2 linked regions of the Elephas maximus indicus genome follow. The protein of the gene in region 1 interacts with the protein of each later gene in a pairwise test. Links are inferred from orthologs where the notes say so. Each region holds a gene or a part of one and is shown on either strand. Other genes may lie near its edges. The genes, in order: LRP1 and MAPK8IP1.

Region 1 (11,250 bases):
TCATCCTTTTTCCAAATTTTTCCTCCCTCAATGGCATAAACTCACTGTTCCCTAAGCTTCGTATCTAACCTTTTGAGTTTGCGCAAAAGTTTTTAATTTTGATGTTTTATTAGTTTTTTTCTTTTATGGTTATTGCTTTCTATAACTTAGGATGGTTTTGGCTACCTCTAAGTCATAAAGATATAAAGATAGTCTTTGTTTTCATCTAAAAGCTTTATGATTTTAGTTTTTATGGTTTAGGTCTATGATCCATCTTGAATTAAATTCAGGTATGGTATGAGGTATGAGAAAACATTCATTTTTTCCCCCATATGGATATCCAGTTGTCCTAAAGCCATTTGTTGAAAAGGCATGCATTTCCCCATTGTATTACTTTGACTCCTTTGTCAAAATCAAATGACCTTTAAGTGTGAGTCTATTTCTAGTTCTCTATTCTGTTCCAGGGATCTGTGAATTCTTATGCCAGTACCACACCGTCCTGCTTACTGTAGCTTACAAGTCTTAAAGTCAACTAGTATAAGTTCTCCAGCACTGGGATTTTTTTTTTTAATATAATTTTTATTGTGCTTTGAGTGAAAGTTTACAAATCAAGTCAGTCTCTCACATATAAATTTATATACACCTTACTACATACTCCCACTTACTCTTCCCCTAATGAGTCAGCCCGCTCCCTCCTTCCAGTCTCTCCTTTTGTGACTGTTTTGCCAGTTTCTAACCCTCTCTACCCTCCTATCTCCCCTCCAGACAGGAGATGCCAACACAGTCTCAAGTGTCCACCTGATACAAGTAGCTCACTCTTCATCAGCATCTCTCTCCTACCCATTGTCCATCCCCTTCCATGTCTGATGAGTTGTCTTCAGGAATGGTTCCTGTCCTGGGCCAACAGAAGGTTTGGGGACCATGACCACCTGGATTCCTCTAGTCTCAGTCAGACCATTAAGTCTGGTCTTTTTATGAGAATTTGAGGTCTGCATCCCACCGTTCTCCTGCTCCCTCAGGGGTTCTCTGTTGTGTTCCCTGTCAGGGCAGTCATCGGTTGTGGCCGGACACCATCTAGTTCTTCTGGTCTCAGGATAATGTAAGTCTCTAGTTCATGTGGCCCTTTCTGTCTCTTGGGCTCATAGTTATCGTGTGACCTTGGTGTTCTTCATTCTCCTTTGATCCAGGTGGGTTGAGACCAATTGATGCATCTTAGATGGCCGCTTGTTAGCATTTAAGACCCCAGATGCCACACTTCAAAGTGGGATGCAGAATGTTTTCATAATAGTATTATTTTGCCAATTGACTTAGAAGTCCCCTTAAGCCATAGTCCCCAAACCCCCGCCCTTGTTCTGCTGACCTTCAAAGCATTCAGTTTATCCCGGAAACTTCTTTGCTTTTGGTCCAGTCCAGTTGAGCCGACCTTCTGTGTATTGAGTATTATCCTTCCCTTCACCTAAAGTAGTTCTTATCTACTACCTAATCAAGCACTGGGATTTTTAAAAGCTCCCCAGGTGACTCTAAGGTGCAGCCAAAGTTTGAGAACTCTGAGAACATTCTAATGTGAGCCAAAGTTTTAAACCTTTCTCTGTCACTCCGCTCTAGGCACAAATGAAAAACCAAATGGTATACCTGATCCTACCCTCCTTAGTGTCTATAGAATCCTTCTCTTCCTCTCCAACTCTATCACTGATGCAAGAATTTTTAAAGACATCGATTTCTCACCTGGCTCCCCACTACTTCTAGAAAAAAATGTTAAGTCCTTAGTTTAGCACACAAGGCCCTTTGTGATTAGGGTCCCTGACACTTCATCCATCATCCTCTCCAATAAGTATGTTAAACTTCAGCCATACCATATTTGCAGTTCCTCAAATGTTTTAAGCTTCCTCATGCTTCCGTATCTTTGCCTGCCCTCCTGCTTAAAACACCCTTTCCTTCTGTTTTCACTTGCTGTTTCCTTCCTCCTTTTTTATTTCCTTCCTCCCTTTCAACCTTTACCCCGGCATCATCTGCCATGCTCTGCCCTGATCCCCTTATCTGGAATAGGTGTGCTTCCCTGATTCCCATGGGTCTCATGCATGCCTTTAACATAGACATTAGGGCACTTAGTGTAATTGTCAATCACCTTTTTTTATAGAGCAACCCCACTATCCTGTAAGCTTCTTGAAGGCTGAGACTGTGTTTCCATCTCATATCCCTAGTGCCTCCTGGCACATCCGGGGTACCTAATAAATGTTTCTTAAATGAATGAAACCTGGGCTCAAATCTGCACTGTGATTTGGGGCAGATTCCTTAATCTCTCTGAACTTCTATTTCCTTATCTACGAACTGGAAATAACACCTATGTCACAAGGTGGCTTTGAGACTTCAGTGAGCTAACTCACCCATACTAACCTATTGCTGCTGAGTCGCTTCCTACTCATAGCGACCCCGTAGGACAGAGTAGAACTGCCTCACAGAGTTTCCAAGGAGCGTCTGGTGGATTCGAACTGCCGACCTTTCGGTTAGCAGCCATAGCTCTTAACCACTATGCCACCAGGGTTTCCATGTAAAATCTATTATATGGGCCTGGCACATGGTAACCATTCAATAAATCTTCATTCTCTTTTCTCTCCCCACCTTCTACCAGATCCTTCAGAGATACGCCTTCCTAATCACACTTCTCTAACTGACCACTAGGTGGTGACAGTCTGGCCTGACACTCCCAGAGCTGCCCTATTAATGCCCCATCCCAGGCAATGTTACACTCAATGAAGAAGAAAAAAACAACAACAAAAAAAAAACCAAGCCCATTGCCATCCAGTGGATTCCAACTCACAGCGACCCTCCAGGGCAGAGTAGAACTGCCCCATAAGGTTCCAAGGAGCAGCTAGTGAATTTGAACTGCTGACCTTTTGCTTAGCAGCCAAGCTCTTAACTACTACCAACCCAGGGTTTCCTCAATGAAGAAAGGGGGATGTTTAATAATTTGCTGAAAAATTTGCTGAAGGATCCAAAAAAAAGGAGATATCCTCTTCCCACATCAACTTCTTTGCCCACTGCCACCATTCTAGGTATCCTGATTATGGATTGCAGAGAATTCTTCCCTGATATCCCATTATTTTCTGTATAATCTAACCCAAGGGTTTGAAGATAAAAGGAAAAGTTTCTTAAGAATAGAAGTGGGGAGAAAGAGAAGAAACTAAGGCAGAGAGGAATTGAAAGATGAGTGCTATAGGAAAACATGAGGAAGCAAAATGCTTACAGTCATACCCTACCCACCACCCACTGCCGTCGAGTCGATTCTGACTCACGGTGACCCTATAGGACAGAGTAGAACTGCCCCATAGAGTTTCCAAGAAGCACCTGGTGGATTCAAACTGCCGACCTCTTGGTTAGCAGCCGTAGCACTTAACCACTACACCACCAGGGTTTCCAGTCATACCCTATTCGACAATAGTTATTAATGGCTGTCTCCTCTACCAGGGCAGGTGCCCCTAGTTCTAACACTCTTGACAGGCTCCCCACGGATCAGTCAAGAACTCCTAACACTGAGTGGATACCAAGAAGTAAAGACATGGTCCCTGTCCTCGAGAAGTTTATACTTTGGTGGTGGATATAGGACACACATAATTAAGTGCTAAACTCTGAGTACTCAGGCTATCTTGAGAGCAAGTTTGAAAAACAATAGATGGGCAGAGCGAGAATAACAAGAGAGCTTTTCTGAGGGGAAGCTGGGGAAACAGTATAATTAAAGGCTCAGGTAGAAATATGCATTCTCTCATCTCACAGAGACACCTCAGCACTTCACATACTGGAAATTACCCAAATGCCAACCAATCTCAATAGATTGGGGTACCCAAGTAAGCAGATTCCAAATTAAAAAAAAAAAAAAACAAACTCATTGCCATCAAGTCGATTCTAACTCATAGTGACCCTACAGGAGAGAGTAGAACTGCCCCATAGAGTTTCCAAGGAGCACCTGGAGGATTTGAACTGCCGACCTTTAGGTTAGCAGCCATAGCATTTTAACCACTATGCAACCAGGGTTTCCAGATTCCAAATAGCAGATATAAATAGTATGAAAGACATATACATACTATGTGTAAAGGGACCAAGATAAGTTTGTTGAAAAAGCAAGTTACAGAACAGTATATATTGTATGAATTCATTTGTATTATTTTAAGGATATTCATTTATATATATATTTAAAAACTCCTGGAAGGATACCCAGGGAACTGTTAGTAGTGGTTACTCTGAGGGTGGGGCTCAAGAATGGTAATGTGGAAAGCAGCAAGTTTACTCTTCACCTTGTACCCTTCTATGCTCTGGGTTGTTCTAACCACTAAGCATGTATTATATCTTTAAATTGTGGTAAAAAAATATATAACAAAACATTTGGCAATTCAACAATTTTTACATGTACAATTCAGTGACATTGATTTTGTTCATTATGCTGTATGACCATCACCACTATCCTTTTCCAAATTACTCCACTGCCATGAACAGAAACTCAGTGTCCCCTAAGAAATGGATCCACCTCCAATCTTTACTCCCACCCCTGGTAACCACCAACAAACTTTGGTCTCTATATATTTGCCTGCTTCATATAAGTGGGACCATACAATATTTGTCCTTCTGTGACTGATATATTTCACTCAGTACATTTTCAAAGTTCATCCAAGTTGTAATATGTGTCAAGATTTTATTTTCCTTTATAGCTGAGTAGTATTCCATTGTATATATATACAGCACATTTTGTTTATTCATTCATCTATCTCTGGATGGACATTCACCTTTTGTGAATAGTGAAGCATGCATTCTTTTTCACAACATAAAGTTCATAAAAATGAATACACATTCACATTCAGGAGATGGCAGTTGGGGTACGTTGGGAGGTAAAAAGTGAAAAGTCTTACAGGCTGGCCAAGGCCAGGTTTTACACCATGACTGTCTGGGAGAAAAGTTCACATTTGGTTTAGTTGTCTACAGATACCCAGCAGAAGTTTACCAACAAGGAAGAGAGACAGGAAAGCAGAATTTTAGGAAGACTGACAGAGGGGAGGGGGAATGAGACTGCCCTCTCACAGCCCCCTGGGGCTACCTATGGTCACTCCAGGTATCTTTTTACTTTCAAAGCTGCCTGAAGCCTATTTTAACCTAATTTCACTTGGATGACAATATTGGTAGGGGCCCTGGCAGAGGAAGGAACCTAGCAGGTATTCATTAATAACATTTAGTTAGTCCCTGCCGTGTGCCTGGCACAGCGCTGGGCCATGAGGGCTGGATAAAAGGATAGGTAAGACCCCACCTCTACCCAGAAAAACTTTGTCTGGAAGTGGAAATGGAGGAAATCATAGATAGATTTCAAAGGGAAAAATGACAGGCCTTGAACATAGGCTTGCACAATTGGATGTAAGAAAGGCCCTGAGAAGTTGGCAATAATTTTGAGGCTTCTAGCCTAGGTGACTAAAGACGGGTGAGGATGGCCGAGCCAAGCAAGCCCAGAAGCAGCACAGGCTTGGGGGAAAAGTCGAGATTCTCACTCCCTCCCACTGTCATTAACAGCCAAGTCCTCCACGATGCTCACTTTTCAGCCAGGGGCAGATTGGAGTGGGGGTTTGGGGCCCTTCCTTGACTAGAATTTTAGGAAGATGGGTGGTCCAATGTCCCTTATCTCTAAAGTCAGTTTCTGGCAGTCCAAGTCGCCTGCCCTAGGTCCCTGAACCCTGACTTCCAGACACCCAGAAAGTCAGACACCACAGCTTTAAACATCGCCCAGAAGGGGGCGGTGGCCAGAAGCACATTCGCCGGGCTCTGGGAACCGCCTGGCGCCTTCTGGACTCAAAGTAGCATTCCCGTAAGGGATCAGGGCCGGGACAAAGGTCCAGCCCTCAGCAGGCACCCCGAGGCCTGGAATTGGAGGTCCAGAGTTCTTCATCTTACTCCAAATCTCTGCTGCTCAGAATCTAAAACCCCGATTTGGTGAGAACCCAGCCCAAAGGTATAAAAACAAAAAAATAAACGAGCCCCCATATCTTGGGGCAAGGGGGGGTGGCCCTTCCTCAACCCCACCCGCTAGTGACTCACCTCCCTCCAAACCAGGGCCTGCCCCTCCGGCGCCCGGTGCCAGGCAAGCAAGGCGGAGCGGGACTTGAGGTGGGCTCCATCCCGGAGCCCTAGGTGAATGGACAAGCTCTGGCGTGTCCCCGCGGGTGTCCCTGTTTACTCCAAACCCGGGAGCGAGTGGGGGCGGCCCCTCCCCCACCCCGCCCCCTCCGCTGCAGGCCCCAATCCCAGTCACCGGTTTAGAAAGTCTCCAAATCAAAGCTCAGTCTGTCCCCGTACCTTCCCCGAGGATTGGAGGCCCCAACACCCACCCCCACCCCCACCCCCGCCCCCACCCCCGCCCCCACCCCCACCCCTACCCCCACCCCAAGCTGAGAAGGCACAGGCCGGGTTCCCCGAGGAAATCCGGCCTCGCCCCAGACCACGGGATATTGGACCCCCCAAGAGGGAGCCTGAAATCCTAGGGCACGACACCGAGTTTCAAAGACAAGCCGTTCTCTTCGCCCACTGCCCAATCCCCCCTCCGCCCGTCCAGCTCTCCGCAGGGGCGCGCTCTGTTAGGAGAGAGGGCGCTGTGGACCCCAAGCCGGCTAGCTGGCCCCGGGACCCCTACGCTCCGTCCGCTTCTCAGAGTTCCAAGTCTTGCTGCTCCTATGGAGCCCCCACCCCAGGGCAGCTCGCCAAACCCGCGCATGCGCACTAACCGGATTGCCGCGTAGCTCTTCCCCCCCCCTTTTCTTTCCCCGCCCCTTCCCTCCCTCCCTCTTCTCCACGTCCCCTCCCTCTCCCCCTTGGCCCCCCCCCGCTGCACCTCAGGCCGGGGAACAGCGGTTCGAGCTCCCGGCCAGTGCACTGAGGAGGCGGAAACGAGGGGAGCCCCCAGAGCTCCATCAGACCCCTTCCAAAGGCTCCCCCACCCGGTCCACGCCCCCCACCCCACCCCCGCCTCCTCCCAATTGTGCATTTTTGCAGCCGGAGGCGGCTCTCAGATGGGGCTGTGAGCTTGCCCGGGGAGGGGGAGAGAGGAGCGAGGAGAAAAGCAGTGGGTGAAGGGTTTGGATTTGGGGGCACTGGGCGCACCCCCGTCAGCAGGCCCTCTCTAAGGGGCTCCGAACTCTGCCTCTTCACCCACACCCCTGGTGAGCTTGGCCGAAGGAAAGAATAAGAATAGAGGAGGGGGGGAAAGGAGGAAAAAGGGGGACCCCCCAAATGGGGGGGCGAAGGCGAGAAGTAGCAGGACCGGAGGGGAGGGGGCTGCTGCCTACATCAGCCCGCACCATGCTGACCCCGCCGTGGCTGCTGCTGCTGCCCCTGCTCTCAGCTCTGGTCACGGCGGCTATCGACGGTGAGTGAGATTCCGCGGCCCCCGGGACCCCTGGGGACACCCCCTCCCCAGCCCCCGTTCCTGCGTACGGATGGGGAAGGGAGACGCGGGAGGGGGTGCCTTTTGTTATCCCAGTCCAGCTGACACAGCAGCGGCCCCACTGGGGACACCGATGGGGGTCTGATTTGGGGGATGGGGGCCCTAGGCAAATGATGCTTCCAGGACCCCCCAGGCCAGACAAAGGCCATAGGCCTGGATAGGGAGAAGAGGGCTCCCCCTTTCTGATCCTGGGATCGAGAGGCCTTCTCTTTCTATCTCTGGTCGGGGAGGGCCTCCACCTCTCCTTCATACACCCCCCCCCCATTTGAATTGTGAAGGAATTCGGATTTGCGATATACGGCAGCAAAAGGGGGCGGGGGACCTTCTGCAGTGGCCTCTGAAGCTCACCGGGGATCTGGGCCAGGGGCGTCCTGCTGGGCAGAGGGCTAGCAGGCCCAGGAAAGCTGTGGGTGGGGAGAGGGAGGACCACGGGGAAGGCCCCCTGCTTGGGTGTGGAATCTGGGCCCCAGAGCCCAGGCATGGAGGCCTGGGTCCAGGATCCAACGGGCTACCTACCCTCCTGGGTTCTGGATTCAGCACTTCCCCCTCTCAGGGCCTCTGTCAGTAGCCTGGGTAGGGCTGTGTTGGGGGGCGGAGTGGGGGGGCAGGCGATGCTATGTGACTGAATTTTCTTTAATAATTCCTGGGAGCGTTGAGATGGAAAAAAAAAAAAAAGTCAGATGTCATCATTGGGGAAGGGGACTAGAGAATGGCCTGGAGTGCGGGGGGTGGGGGGGGGGGTGTTGCAAGGCTGCTTTCTTCCTGACTTCTGCTTGATCACAGTTTGCACTAGAAGGAGAGTTGGAGATTGGGTGGGGTTTACGGCTATCCCCCACCCTCTAATTCCCTGTCCTTTGGTAAATGTGTTTATTTACTTCTCTGCCTCCCATACACACACACTTTGTATAGTACAGAGAGTTAGGCTTAAGCTAGAACTGTGTTCCTTAGGGAAAAGGGAGTTACCCCTCCCCTTTTTCTGCCAGCTGTTTTTTTCTCTTACTTGTGAGTCACTGGTTCAAGTCTTGCCCAAGCTTTCAGCTGGGACCATGGGGCTGGGCTGGGCCCCTGATTTGAGAAAGGATGGACTCACATCCCTTCCTGGCATCTTAGCCCCCTCATCCAGGGATGAAACTGGGCCCAGTATCTGCCTGTAACTAGAAACAGCCCTTCTTTCCCCCACTCACCCCCTCCTCCATCTTTTAAATTTTGCCAGGTTGGGATTGGGAAAGTTTTTCTCTAAAACCAGATTATCTCTCCCTCTCCTCCCCTCCCCCCAATTTTCATCAGTTCCTGGGGCCAGGAAGCAGCTGTGCAAAGAAAGAAGGGTATATTCAGTGGCCCTCAATTATGCCATCTTGGGGACTGTCTGTCTGCTCCCCCCCACCCCATCTACCTCAATTATGTGCCCAAGAGAAGGGAAGAGGCTGTGCCCTGAATACCCTGCAGACGAGTGCCAGCCCCTACTCAGGACTCCCTCCTTCATGCCTGTTCTTTTCTCTTGTTCACAGCCCTGTGGCACCCCACAGGGACAAACTGAGGTAAAGGGATTTGGGTGCAGGAGTGTCTGGGAATGGGTGGAAAAAACATTTTTTTTTTTTTTTTTTAAGAAAGAGAGACAGACACATCAGAAGTCCTGTTACGGAGGGTGGATGGAGTTGGGCCGAAGCAAGGGAGTCTCTGTGGAAAGCACAAAAAGGTCCCTGGCCCAGCCAGGAAGGGCCCTAGGTAGCTTCACTCCCAGGGCTCTGAATCCAAAACCAGACCTGTTGCCATCAAGTCGATTCCAACTCATAGCAACAGGGCTCTAAAGCGGGTATATTTGTCACACCAAGTTGGCTGGTGGATATTAGAAGAGGGAGACTGGACATGTTCTCCTTACTGTCTCCCTAAAAAAAAAAAAACCCACTGCCATCGAGTCGATTCCAACTCATAGCGACCCTACCCTTCCTTAAAGTCCCTGCCCAGCCCCCCTCTGTATTCCCTGCTCAGACTGAACTCTATCCAAAGTCCTAGGAGAGGACTTCTTCCCAGATACCCACTAATAGCCTCATCTTGGAAATGGAAATATGAAAAATCAGTTCCACCTCACTCTGGGGGATGGGAATCTCAGAATTGCTCAGAACCATACCACAGTCGGAAACCCTGGTGGCGTAATGGTTAAGTGCTATGGCTGCTAACCCAGAGGTCGGCAGTTCGAATCCGCCAGGCGCTCCTTGGAAACTCTATGGGGCAGTTCTACTCTGTCCTGTAGGGTCGCTATGAGTCGGAATCGACTGACAGCAGTGGGTTATACCACAGTCCAACTCTATCCAGGAGTAGCCTAGAGGATCCCCTTATCCATACTCCTGCCCTCATGCCTCAGGCCTACAGAGACTGAACTTTCTCCTTTGCTTTCTACAGAAGAAAACCTCTTGACCCCAGGTTACCTGACCTAGTGTCTAACCTTCCTTCCTCCTTCTGTCACAGGTCTGGCTGCCTTCCCCCCATAGGAGCAGTCCTGGAGGCCTTCCCCACCTTGCTTTGGCCTTATCTTCTGGGTCTGAACCTACCCCCTGGAACCCCTTTCTCTCTGGGGAGCAATGCCACTCCCCACTAGTAGACAAAATTGAGTGCAATTGTTACTGAAGAAGATGAGAAAGAGATGGGGTGGGGAGTGGGAAGAGAGAGTATTGAGGGCCCAGCTGAGCTTAGGCAGCCAGACATAGGGAAGAAGGTCGGCTTCCACCCTCTCTCCCTACCTGTCTCCAAAACCCCCTTGAGCAGGTTTATTACCAGTGATCAGGCAAGGTGTACAGTTGAAGTGAGTTTGGAGGCTAGGGTGTTAGCCTTCTGGCTCCCCGAGAGATGTCCCAAGCCCCTTTTTCCCTTGACCAGACCCAAATCCTTGAACATCCCCCTTCAGCCTCGTTTTCCAAAGCAGGGATGTATAGGTTGTTAATTTTGGGATTGAAGGGATATTTTGATGTTTGAGACTGCTCCACAATTTTTCTTTTCTTCCAGTCCTGCTCTTCCTCCCTCCATTTTCTCCATATTTTTTTGCCCTCAACCACTCCTCCATCACTGTGGCTCCTAAGGATGTCAGCCAGGACCCTGGCTAGAGCCAAATCCCCCATTCTTCAAAGCACCTTCCTTACCTTGGGGAAGCCCTTCCTTCAAGTCTAACTCTCTTCCCTCATGCTGTAGTGTCAGCCTTTGCACTTCAGAGCCCCCAGGCCTAGGGCTTATCCCCCTTCGGTGTTATCTTCTCAAGGTCCTCTCGCACACCCTCAAACTCTCCATCTCTGGATGTGGGGCTCACTACCCTCGGGTGGAGTTGAGTGGGGCTGTGCAGAGATCCTCAACCGGGTATGAGCATTCAGGGAACCTGCTCCCCCATCGTGTTCTGTCCCAGATTTCAGCTGGGTTAGCAGGATCCTGCATTGTTTGGAGAAGGAAGCAGTTGGCTCTGGAGTGCTTCCGGAGCAGTGGCCCCAGGTCCCAGTGTAAGGCCACCCTGAGAAAGATGGAGGGGGCAGTCATCTCTCTGACTTCTGCAGGGAGATGAGAGTCCCTCCTAGGCCGAGGGGCTCCAGCCCTCCTCCCTTCCTCCCTCTCTCCCACCCCTATGGTACCTATTCTGAGTCTCCTCTGGGTCAGGCACTCCTAGGCCAGGGATTTTGCCTCCTCAGCCTGGGGTATATGCTAGGTATATGAGTCTTAGGGGAGTTTTCACTCTCTGGATTCATCCCAGGACAACTGTGTTATCGTCTTGGCAACCTCTGGGCTGAGACCCCTTCCTGGCTTTTTTGCCTCTCTCTGTC
Region 2 (10,827 bases), on another chromosome or scaffold:
TCCTCTGTTGGAAACCCTGGTGGCATAGTGGTTAAGTGCTACGGCTGCTAACCAAAAATTTGGCAGTTCAAATCCACAAGACAGTCCTTGGAAACTCTATGGGGGCAGTTCTACTCTGTCCTACAGGGTCGCTATGAGTCAGAGTCAACTCGGTGGCAACGGGTTTTGTTTTTAGTTTTTATAGGAGTTAGGGAGCCCTGGTGACGCCAGTAGTTAAGTGTTCAGCTGCTAACCAAAAAGGTCAGCAGTTTGAATCCACCAGCTATTCCTTGGAAACCCTATGGGGCAGTTTTACTCCATCATGTAGGTTCGCTATGAGTCGGAATCAACTCAACAGCATTGGGTTTGGTTTTCCAGTAAAGGCTTTAGTGGGTGATACTGTAGAGAGAGGTTACTTGTAAAAACATGGGCTCTGGCACTTACGAATGCTCTAGTCTTGGGCAAGTTACTTATCCTCTCTGCACTTCAGTTTTCTCCTATATAAAATTGGAGGCCGTATCTTCAGGGTTAATAAGGTCACAGGTGTACAGCGCTTGGCCCACGGTAGGCTCGGTGAGCAGATGTGATGTTATTATCTGCCTCATCAAAATTTAAACTGGACAAACCTTTTAATGGAGCACTGTGTGTCTGCAGAATCCCAGACACACTAAGCCTGTTTTAAATAGGCACCCAGCATTATGACGGGCTTACCTTGTTGTCTGTTATCAGGGATGAGGCCATTTCTTTCCTCTGCCCCAGATTCCGGATGTTATAAATCTCCCAGTGAGTCATCTGGTGTCTCCTGTCCCCCTCCCAGCCATCCTGCGGGGCTGCACCAGGCCTCTCTTATCTGTATGTGGAAATTTGCTCACCTGCTGATTCTATACTCAGTCCTTGCCTTCCTCTTCAAAATGACTTCTCCCAGCTAGCCTCCCCTCCAGCTATTTTTTTCTGATTCTCCATTTCTGGCAACAGTCCCTGTGTCTTGATTGAGACACTGCCCTTGTCATATCTGAGCAAGTGTCACCAAAGGCCTCAGGTGAGTCTCAGGGGACCTTTTCCTCCTCTTCCTTGGCTGCCCTCAGCTGTGCCTCAGAGGTGGCCCAGAGGGTCTGCAGGGGACAGCAGATCCTGTCTAAGCACTTCAGAGGGGCAGTGTGCAGTCAGTCCAGTGGCATCCCAGCAACAGCCTCATCCCTGGTCCCGTGGCCCTTGCAGCTCATTATTTAGGGACTTCCCAGTTCCCAGCCTGAGTGTCCCTAGAGAAGCAGCCAGAGGAGCTGGTGTCCCTGGGCAACTGAGCAGCCTCCTAAATGTTCTTTTGACACTTGTTTTTCTCTTCCAGCTGCAGAGCCGCTGCTCCGTGAGCCAAGCCTGGATGCCAGGGCAGCCACCGTGGCAGCAGAGTGCAACCTGCGGGCAAGCCGGCGCTGACAGAGCTCGCAAAGACGTGTGTGCGTGTGTTGTGTGCGCCTGTGCAGGGGGAGTGGTGTGCTGTTTGTGTGTGCATGTGTCTGTTTACACTCTGTGACTCTGAATGCTGCCTGGGCTGGAGCAGTCCCTGCAGCACGCTTCACCTCGAGTGCTGTGCCTGCCTCCAGACACAAGGCTAGATGTCACAGCTGAGACCTGTCCCTGCCAGCCAACAGCCTGGTCTGAGTGGAACATAGTGGTAGGATCTTAGCTGGGATTCTGGCTTCTGCCTCCTCAGTTCACCCTCCTCACATCAGGCCAAGGAGCAGAAAGGCAACATCTTTGGCTCTTGTCAAGAGTATGGGATTCTAGAGGCAGCCAGAGCCCTGCAAAGTTCTGCATTTTGACCCTGGAGGCTGAGCAGACTGGAGTGGATGGATGCCGTCCAGACCTAGCCACCTGGTCTGGCACCTTTCTCATCTTAAAAGCCCCTGCTCTGGTCCTCCAGACCCTTCCTCGGGTACGTGGGACTGAGCACAAGGCTGTGTACAGATGATAGCTCTGAAAAGTTCCCACCAACCAGCACATGGAAGGATACCCAATACTTGCCTGGTGGGATGTACGCAGACTGTAGGTAGCAGCCTCAGCCAGCACAGCTGCCTTTTCAGAGCTGAAAGCCCAAGGCTAGGAAGAGAATTCCAGCTCTGTACTTCCCCAGAAGCTAAGAGCCAGCCTGGAGCTTATCCAGGAGCTGGGGAGGGCAGGGGCAGACATGCCTTCTCCATGAGGAGGCCAGGTTCCTGGGGGCATAGAGCCCCAGCCCCTGTGGCCCCACTCCAAGACCACAGTGCCACCAGTGAGGACAGCTGACCCCCAGCCATGGAGGCCGTTCTAGTCTTTCTTCTGGAGCCTTCCAGGGCCTACCCCGCACTGGATATCATCCAAGCTGCCATGTCAGCTGTCCCAGTAGCTGGACTCCAAGAACCCAGGCAGATGGACTCAGGGGACTGCCAGAGGCAGTTGGCAGAGGTCAAACTAGAGATCATACCCAACACACCAACCCTTCCAGAAGCATCAGGTGGGAGGTTTGACCCAGAGAAGTCAAGCCTCGCATTACGGGAATGGCCAGTGCCGCCCACCACTCCCCTCCCACTGTCGAAGGCCTCTGTTGAGAAACACTTAATGAAAAGGACTGTGTTGTCAGCTGGAGCAAGTCTTCCTTCCACGCTGTGGCCTGCACTTCGGCCACAAAGTTCGTGTGTGTGTCTGTGTGTGCCTTTGTGTGTGCACGCGTGCGTACATACACGTGCTTGTGTAGCTGAGAGGCCGATTCCTCTTTGGGTTTTTGTCCTCACGTGTAACATTAAGCTGGCCTCTTGGCCTTCTCCTCTCTACCTCCCCTGTGACCTTTCCTAGTCTCATAGCTGTTAATGCCCTTGGCCCCTGCCCTGTCCCTCGATGTCTTCTGTCCCCAGACCAGAGCCCTGGGGTCATGCCCCTGTCTCCTGCAGTTGTCCAGCATGTTGACAGGCTTCTTCCTGAGAGGTCCTCAGTTTTCTCAGCCAGAGAGCTGCCTTTAGAGTCCAACTGTTGTATGTCACCTTTACTAGAAATATCCTGTAATCATGTGGGGAGGGTAGGGCACACATCTGGTGTGTATTCAGAGTACTGGGTTGAGGGCTTCCCTCAGTCCCAGCCAGGAGGAAAGAGAATCAGGGGCTATTGCCTGAAGGGGAGTGGAGTGAGCCTGGAAGGGCTAATCTGAGACATGGAGGATGCCCAAGGGCTTAGGGCCAAAATCAGTATTTATTTAGCAGCACCTTCAAACCTCAGGATGGTTTGATGGTACTGATGACTTAATGGTGGCTCTCTCCCCTAAGGCACAAGTCGGGCGGGACCACACCCCCTGCTTCTCCACCTTCCCTCGCATGCTGGCCCACCCCCAGGACAACCTTGCAGTGGGGTGGGGCAGTCCACCCCTGGAGCTGGAGGGGCGGGGCGGAGAGGGTACAGCCAGTGGCCTGGAGCTCCACCGGGGCCTCACGTCTCCCCTCTTCTAGCTCGGGCAGCACTGGGGGTGCCACAGAGTGATGCAAACCCTGATCCAAGGGCCAGCATGGGGAAGAGATGGTCGCAGGCAAAATGCACTTTATACAGAGGTTTTCTACTGCTGGGAAGGTGTGTTTCTCCCACGGTTTGTTTGTGAACATGCACTCGTTTTATAAACATCTGATCCTGTCAAAGCAAAGCTGTGCTGTTGTCAGTTTTGTGGGAGGTTTGGGGACTGGGGTTGGTAAGGCTGAGCCTAGCTGAGACCTTAGCCAGACCATCTTGATCCTGCTGGAGCCAGAGCCTCTCGCCCCTCCTTTGTCCCAGGTGAGCAGCCCAGCAGACCAATGATAGCTCCAGAGCAGGGTGCTCAGTGTTGGGGTCATTTGGCCATAATGGTGCTGAGCAGTCCAGCGCAGGATGGGGTTCCTGAGTACTGTCCTGTGGTGACCCTACCTGTCAGCCCCTTATGCCCCCCCACCCAAGATGGTGGCAGGCCCTCTTCAGGCCCTCAGTCCATCCTTTACCTCAGTGCCACCACTTCAGCTGCAGCTGTGCAGTGAGCTGTGTGGGTAGATGGTCAAGAACTATCCATAGCTATGCCCAGAGTCTGGATGCTGGCATTCCCCCATGCCATGTGGCCAGAGAGTGGCCCCTTTCTGTGCAGTGTGCATGGGCTTTCCTGCTGGGGACACTTGCCCTGGATTGGACCACTGGGCTGGGAGCTTTGGTAGCCCCCATACCAACTCCCTGTGGGAAGGGACTTCAGGAAGGCCCAGGGATGTCACAGTCTGCCCTGCAGTGAGAAAGGGAGAAAATGGAGCAACATAACCCTGGGGCTTATCTTATTCTTGGCCTTGTTTTAAAGCTCTTGCTGTCTCCCCATCAACACTTGGGCCTGTCCTTCCCTTCTCCTGGTTTCTGTCTAATGTGGCTTTGGCTTGGCCCTGAGGCTAAGATTCCTTTGTTCTTGGGTAGAAGGTTCTGGAAGAGAGTTATCCTACACACACACACTCCTGACCTTCCCATCCTCCATAGCTGAGACAACCACATACTTTAAGGAACAATTATTACCCATGATGGCAAGACTGCTTTCCTGGAAGGAAAAGCCAGGCAACACAGCAGCAGATGTTTAACGTGAAGACCTAGGGAAAGGGGCCTGGGCCAAGATAGTGGGAGAGGTAAAGTGGCCACCCGTCTGGGCCCCAGGGGCAAGGAGAAGAGAAGCAGCCAGGGCCTTTGGTTCTAGGTATTGGAATGTTGTGGCTATAGCTGAAAGGTTGTTTATTGCAAGGTGAGTGCTTGCAGCTCCTTTCTGGGTGCTACATTGGAAGAAAAGAGGCCAGCATGACCAGTTGGCAGTCCAGATTTGCAAATAGGATTCCTCAAGCTGTGAAACAGTTTGTCTGCCCCTTCTCCAAGGAGGGGAAGGACAGGACCTGTGTGGTTCTCTCAGTTGGCTAGAGAAGCCAGTGAGGTTTGGCCAGAAGCTCTATGACCCACCAAAGCTAGGGCCGTGGTCTTGGCCTAAGTGTCAAACAGCCTCTGCTGTGAAAGAAGCAGGGAACATAAGGCCTGCAGGTCAAGGCTTAGCCCTCTGAGGGGAGAGAAGATCAGGAGGGAACCACAGCCCAAACCTGGCAGGGGCAGAGGTGCAGGAGGGAACAGAAACTTAACCAAAGGAATCCCAGGAAGACAACAGGTGGGAGCAGAGGGAAAGGCCCAAAGTCTTAGAGTGAGAGAAGCCAGCTATGGGGTATTTGTGGGGGCAAAAGAGAGGTGCTTTGCAGGAAATGCAATTGAGGCAGTAAATGGGAAGAAAGAGAAAGCTGGGCAAGTCCTGACATAAGGTAGGGGAAGTTGAGGGACTGAGAAGCCAAGAGGAAGGACTCAATTCACCTTTAGTAGCTGTTTGGGGCTGAAGAGAGCCTGGGGCCAGTCTTCAGGGAGGAGAGGGACAAGGTAAAGGGACAGGAATGGGGAGAGGCCTGGATCCTAGTGCAGGAGAGGGGTGTCGCCTGGATTCGGGTGACAACACATTCATATTACGTTGTATTTTCATAAACATGAGAGTGGTATTAATGTCCCCATTTCACAGATGAGAAAACCAGACCTTAGGACTGTCAAGTCACGAATGCAACGCCCCACCGCCTATTCACTGGGAATTCACGCCACGTCACTCCAAACCTTTCTGCTCTTCACCACCCTCTCTCCTTTCTCAGCGACCTTCCTTTCCTGCCTTCTTTGTCTGCTGCGGGGGAGCCAACCAGGGCCTTGGGGACTAAGGGGCCCGTCATTAGTTACCTGATGATGCCTGGGCGTTAGACCCGCCCCCAGGGAGGCTTTGTGGTGGGGCACAGGGACAGCATCAAACTTAGGGCGGAGCGAGGCCAAACCCAGAGGCCCCGAAGCGGGGGGGGGGGGGGGGGGGCGACTTCAGCACCTCGGCGAGCGCCCCGGGGCGGGGCTCGGCGTGCCGGGGGCGGGGCAGGGGGCGGGGCGCACGAGACCCCGGCGAGGGCCCGGGGCGCGCGCGGGGGCGCTCTCTCCAGTGCCGAGCGGTGCGCGGTCCGGAGCCGCGCCCTGCCCTGCGCAGGTGCGCCCGCGAGCCCGCCCAGCCGGAGCCCGGGTGGCGGCCCCCTAGCCGCGCCTACTTCGCCGCCGCCGCCGTCGCCGCCGCCGCCGCCACCGCCGCCGCCGCCGCCGCCGCCGCCGCCGCCACCACCTTCTCAGCCGCCGCCGCCTCCTCCTCTCCGCGCTCCGCCCGGATGGCCAGGGCTGGGCCCGAGAATGGCGGAGCGAGAGAGCGGCGGCCTGGGCGGGGGGACCGCGTCCCCGCCTGCCGCCTCTCCGTTCCTGGGGCTGCACATCGCGTCGCCTCCCAATTTCAGGTGAGAACCCCGAGTCTCGCGCGCCCCACCCTTCAGCCGGTACAGATCTGCCCCCCCCCCCACATACACACCGGACCCCGGGAGCGAGAGGGCGGCTTGGGCACAGGAGTCTCTTCACTGTACGGAGCCCACCCCAAGTCCCCCTCAACCTCCAGTCCAGACTGCCCCTGCATATTCATGGTGCAGCTCCCTCCGCCATTCCACATTCGAGGGTAGGAGATCCGGAGCTGGAGTTGGAGGAGGGGGCTCAGAGGCCGCCTGCGCCCCCACTTGGGGCTGCGGCTGGACCTAGGTCTGGATTGTGATCCCGGAGGAGGCACGTAGGCTGGAACTTTGCCTGTGCCCAATCCGAAGGCTTCTGAACCGAGATGGAAGTAGGCTGGTGTGCCCGGTGAGACCCAGTTTCTTGGGGCAGCTGACCACCTTGGTGCTGGAAGGAGGAGTCGGGGCTTCCTCCCCAGACCTGCCTGGCCAGATGGGCCCAACTCTCAGGTCTGGCTCCGCCTGGACCCTCTGTGGACTTCGGCAAGCAGTAGGCTCTAATCCTCCTCCCTCCCCGCCCTCCCTGCCACCGCCCCCCCTCCTCCCCGGGATCCTAGGCCCAGTTCTGGGAGGGTGTTCTGGTTTGGAGGGCCTAGGAGGAGCCAGGGACATTGGGAGGCCTTTGCTGGGATAAGTACCCAGACCCTGACCTGAACTCCCCCTCTCCAACCCTCCTCTCCCCTCCCCGCAATCTGGTGTTACCCGCTAGGAGGGAGATTTCAGAGAATTGAAGTGAGTGTTCTTGGGAGGAAGGATAGATGCCCCTCCCCCATAATCCTGACCTCACTTGGGAAGAAGAGGAGGGTGTAATTGCTCCAGAGCCTAGTAGAAGGGGCTTAGGCAAATCCCATTGTTTCTCCATATAATGAGCCTGTGCCTCCACCTCTCCTGGGGCCCCTAACCCAGTCGGGCCCCAGCTGGGCTCTGGCGCCAGCCCCTCTGACCAGAAGATGGCTGGCTCCCTGGCCCCCTCAGGTGGGCCAGGACCTCTGGGGATCTCTAATGGCATCATCAGGGCCAGGAACCTCCCCTGAGGCCCGGAGCTGAGCCGAGGCCCGGGGCTGAGCCAGAAAACCAGAGGGAAGGGGACCAGATGGAGAAGGCCAAGCTCTGTGGTTAGCGCCTTCAGACCAGTGGGGCCTCAGGCTGAGACTCCACCTGCCGTGGCACACATTGCCTCCATGGAAACACTGCTGGCCCAGACGGGGGCCCCTCGGCAGTGGAGGAGCATTGCACTTAGAGCCAAGGGTCTTGGTTCCAATTCTAGCACCACCAACTGTATGATTTTTGTCCTAAGTCCTAACTGCTAATATTAATCCCTGCGTAAAAACGAGACCACGGATATCGAGTCGGTGCTCAATAAGTGTCTGGAGGCATTTCTGTAGCAGCTTACTGTTCAGAGCTTTTCCCCAGTGTTGGCTCATTTAACCCTAGTGACCACCCTGTGAGTGAGTATTGGTATGCTTGTTGTAAAGATGAGCACATTAAGTTGCAGGAAGGCACAGTGACTTGCCTAAGGATCCTGAGATAGGCAGAGGTCGAGGCTGGAAGGGACCCCAGGTCTGTGTGTACGTATCCGCTGTCCCCCAGGTCCTGCCTCCGGCCTCTGCTCCCCAGGTACCAGTGTTTTCCATCCCTGCCCTGCCCCCTGGCAGACAGATTGTTACGAAGCTGTAGTGCAAACAGCTGATGGGGTGGACGCCAGCCAGTGAGTGTGTGTCCAGCTCCGGGCCATGTGGGCCGAGGGTGGCAGCATGCAATAAGGCTGAGGCGTGGGCCTGGCCTTCCAGGACACCATGGCCTGGCTGTGAAGACAAGGTCAGCTTGTGTGAATAATAGGGGTCTGTGTCTCAGGCCCTCAAGGCCTGCCCCGCCTGCTCCAACAGCCCTTGCTGCCCTTTCCCTTGTCCCGCCTCTCACAGCCCTTGGCCCAGCTCGATTTAACCCTGTGCAGTTAGTGCTGTTGGGCCTCTTTGTTGGGGTGAGGGAGCCAACTGGGCTGAGTTTGAATCCTGGCTTGGCCTTCTTAGCTAAGTGCCCCAAGATGGGGCACTTAACCCCACCAAGCCTCTGTTTCTTCTTTGCTTCTTCATTGCTTTGACCCCTTCTCAGGGCAGCCCTAAGACTCAGTTGGGACACTACATGTTGAGCGTTTCAAGAGCAATGAAGAGCCGTATGGATGTGGGGCTGTTTTGTGTGTGTGTGTGTGTGCGTGCGTCTGGGCCCTCAGCAGCACCGTCAGCTCCCAGAAGGCATGCGGGCTCAATACCTGAATGTTACGAGTGTTGTTGTTAGCGCTGAATTGGCCCCCACGAGTCATGACAACCACATGCACATGGAACGAAACGCTGCCCGGTCCTGCACCGTCCCCACCATCCCTTGCGGATCAGACAGTTTTCATCAGCTGATTTGGAAGTAGATTTCCAGGCCTTTCTTTCAAGTCCCTCTTAGTCTGGAAGTTCTGCTGAAACCTTTTCAGCATCATAGCTTCCACAGTGGAGGGGGTAAGTGTGATGTGGACCTAGGAGGATGGGGAACATTTGTTTGTTGGTGGTCGTTTTAAATAAACATGTTGGGGGCGTGTGTGTGATTAGAGAACTGCTCCAACCAATTACTAGTAGTTTCTCCTGTTTATGGTATCAGGTGAGGGATCTTCACTTCTTACTTTACATACTTCTGTATTATTACTATTTTTTTTAATAATGAGCATGGGTCACTTTTGTAACTTACAAAATAATAAATGAAAATTTAAAATTAAAGTGATACAAGTTGACTATAAAAAATTCTCGAAAAGATTTACACAATGGATAAGTTGGAGTTGGACAGGTGGAATAAAGGGGAGGGACGGCCCATGGGGGCAGAAACAGCAGGGACAAAGGGGTATTCACGGAGAGTAAAGTCAGCAGACTGCATTGGGTGTGTGGAAGGGGAACCCTAGGCCAAGGGAAGTCCTTTTACTTATGAGGAAACAAGAGAGGGGGAGGACTTTCCTGAGAACACACAGCAAGTTAGTGGCAGAGCTGGGATAGAACTCCCTGGATGGCGTTCTTGCTAGCCCACCACACTGCCTTGGGGATGAGAGATGAGGCTGCCAAGAGCTGACACCACCACCAGGTGCTGTCAGGTCCATTCCCACTCATGCAGACCCCACGTGAGTCAGCGTAGAACTGCACTCGGTAGGGCTTTCAGTGGCTGATTTTTTGGAAGTAGATTGCCAGGCCTTTCTCCCAAGGTGCCTCTGGGTACATTTGAACTGCCAGCCTTTCAATTAGTAGCTGAATGCTCAGCTGCGTCACCAGGGACCTCCTTATTGGTACTTGGTCGTTCTTGTTCTCTCCAAAAATATTTGTACTTTGCCAGGCTCACTGGGGAGGCACTCTAGAGGCACAGACATGGGCTCTGGCCATCACACAGGTGACGGTGTAGAGGGGAAACAGACAGACAGACAAGACTTTACCAGACAAGCTGGTGGGTGCCATGATGACGCAGGTCAGGTCATGTTGAGTGTTTCAAGAGAAGGTTCAGAGGTTCCCCAGAGAAAGGGAGATCTCTGCTCAGGCTTGGTGGGAGCCTGAGCATTGTGTGAAAGGGGTGGGGGTATGAAAAGGGGAGAGCAGCCTATGTGAAGAGTCCAGGGAAAGCAGGTGGGGGCAGGGTGTGTCTGACGCCCAGCCTGGTGGGTGTGTGGCCAGCCAGGTGAGTGGGAACCTGTAGGCCTTGTTAGGACCCTGGCCTTTTCACCAACAAGCAACGGGAGCCAGCAAGGGTTTAGGCAGGGAACAGCAGCATCAGATTGATATTTGGGGACAATCACTCTGGCTGCTGGGTAGAGAATGGATGAGGAGGCTGGGAGGCCAGCTGGGAGACTGGTCATTCTCAGGGGAGAAAGAGGACCGGGGAGAAGATGTGAGGAAGATTCAGGAGGTGAGTTGACCCACGTGGTGAGAAATTGGACATAAGGGATGGAGGAGAGGCAGGAGTCCGGGATAATGCCGGAGCCCCTTCGAGAGTGGGGGTAGGGATGGCCTAGGGGAGATGAGAGATTTGGTGGACCAGGATATGAAGGCATTTGGGGCCCTGCCGAATTTGAGGTTGGTGATCCTTGGGTGACCCAGTTGTAGGATTTCACTCATTTCTCTGATGCCAGAGCCTTAATGTTGGTCTTGGATTCCTGGGAATGGGCCACAACCCACAACTTGGGGCCTCAATGGGTCCTACAAACTGGGTCACTGCCAGCATTCCCACCTAGGGGTTCTCACCCACCCTAGGACACCATCTCTGTCCCTTGGCTCTGCTCTTTTTTTTCAGGGCTTGAAACTTTACTTGTTGAAAACATACGCAGTCACACACCATTTCAACAATTTCTACATGTACAACTCAGTGACATTAATTACATTCAAGTTGTGCAAACATTCTCACTATCCTTCTCTGAATTTTTCTACCACCCTTGACT

The links.
Region 2: the proteins of LRP1 (region 1) and MAPK8IP1 interact in a two-hybrid assay, tested with the Homo sapiens proteins (2 studies listed by BioGRID). The link is inferred for Elephas maximus indicus from reciprocal best matches to the Homo sapiens genes LRP1 and MAPK8IP1.

What each region holds. Positions count from the first base shown.
Region 1 is NC_064822.1:117,049,110-117,060,359, forward strand, and holds the start of LRP1 (prolow-density lipoprotein receptor-related protein 1), read left to right. Parts: upstream 1-6,838; 5' UTR 6,839-7,236; coding exon 7,237-7,372; intron 7,373-11,250. UniProt on the Homo sapiens protein: Endocytic receptor involved in endocytosis and in phagocytosis of apoptotic cells. Required for early embryonic development. Involved in cellular lipid homeostasis.
Region 2 is NC_064825.1:101,360,637-101,371,463, forward strand, and holds the start of MAPK8IP1 (C-Jun-amino-terminal kinase-interacting protein 1), read left to right. Parts: upstream 1-6,124; 5' UTR 6,125-6,231; coding exon 6,232-6,332; intron 6,333-10,827. UniProt on the Homo sapiens protein: The JNK-interacting protein (JIP) group of scaffold proteins selectively mediates JNK signaling by aggregating specific components of the MAPK cascade to form a functional JNK signaling module. Required for JNK activation in response to excitotoxic stress.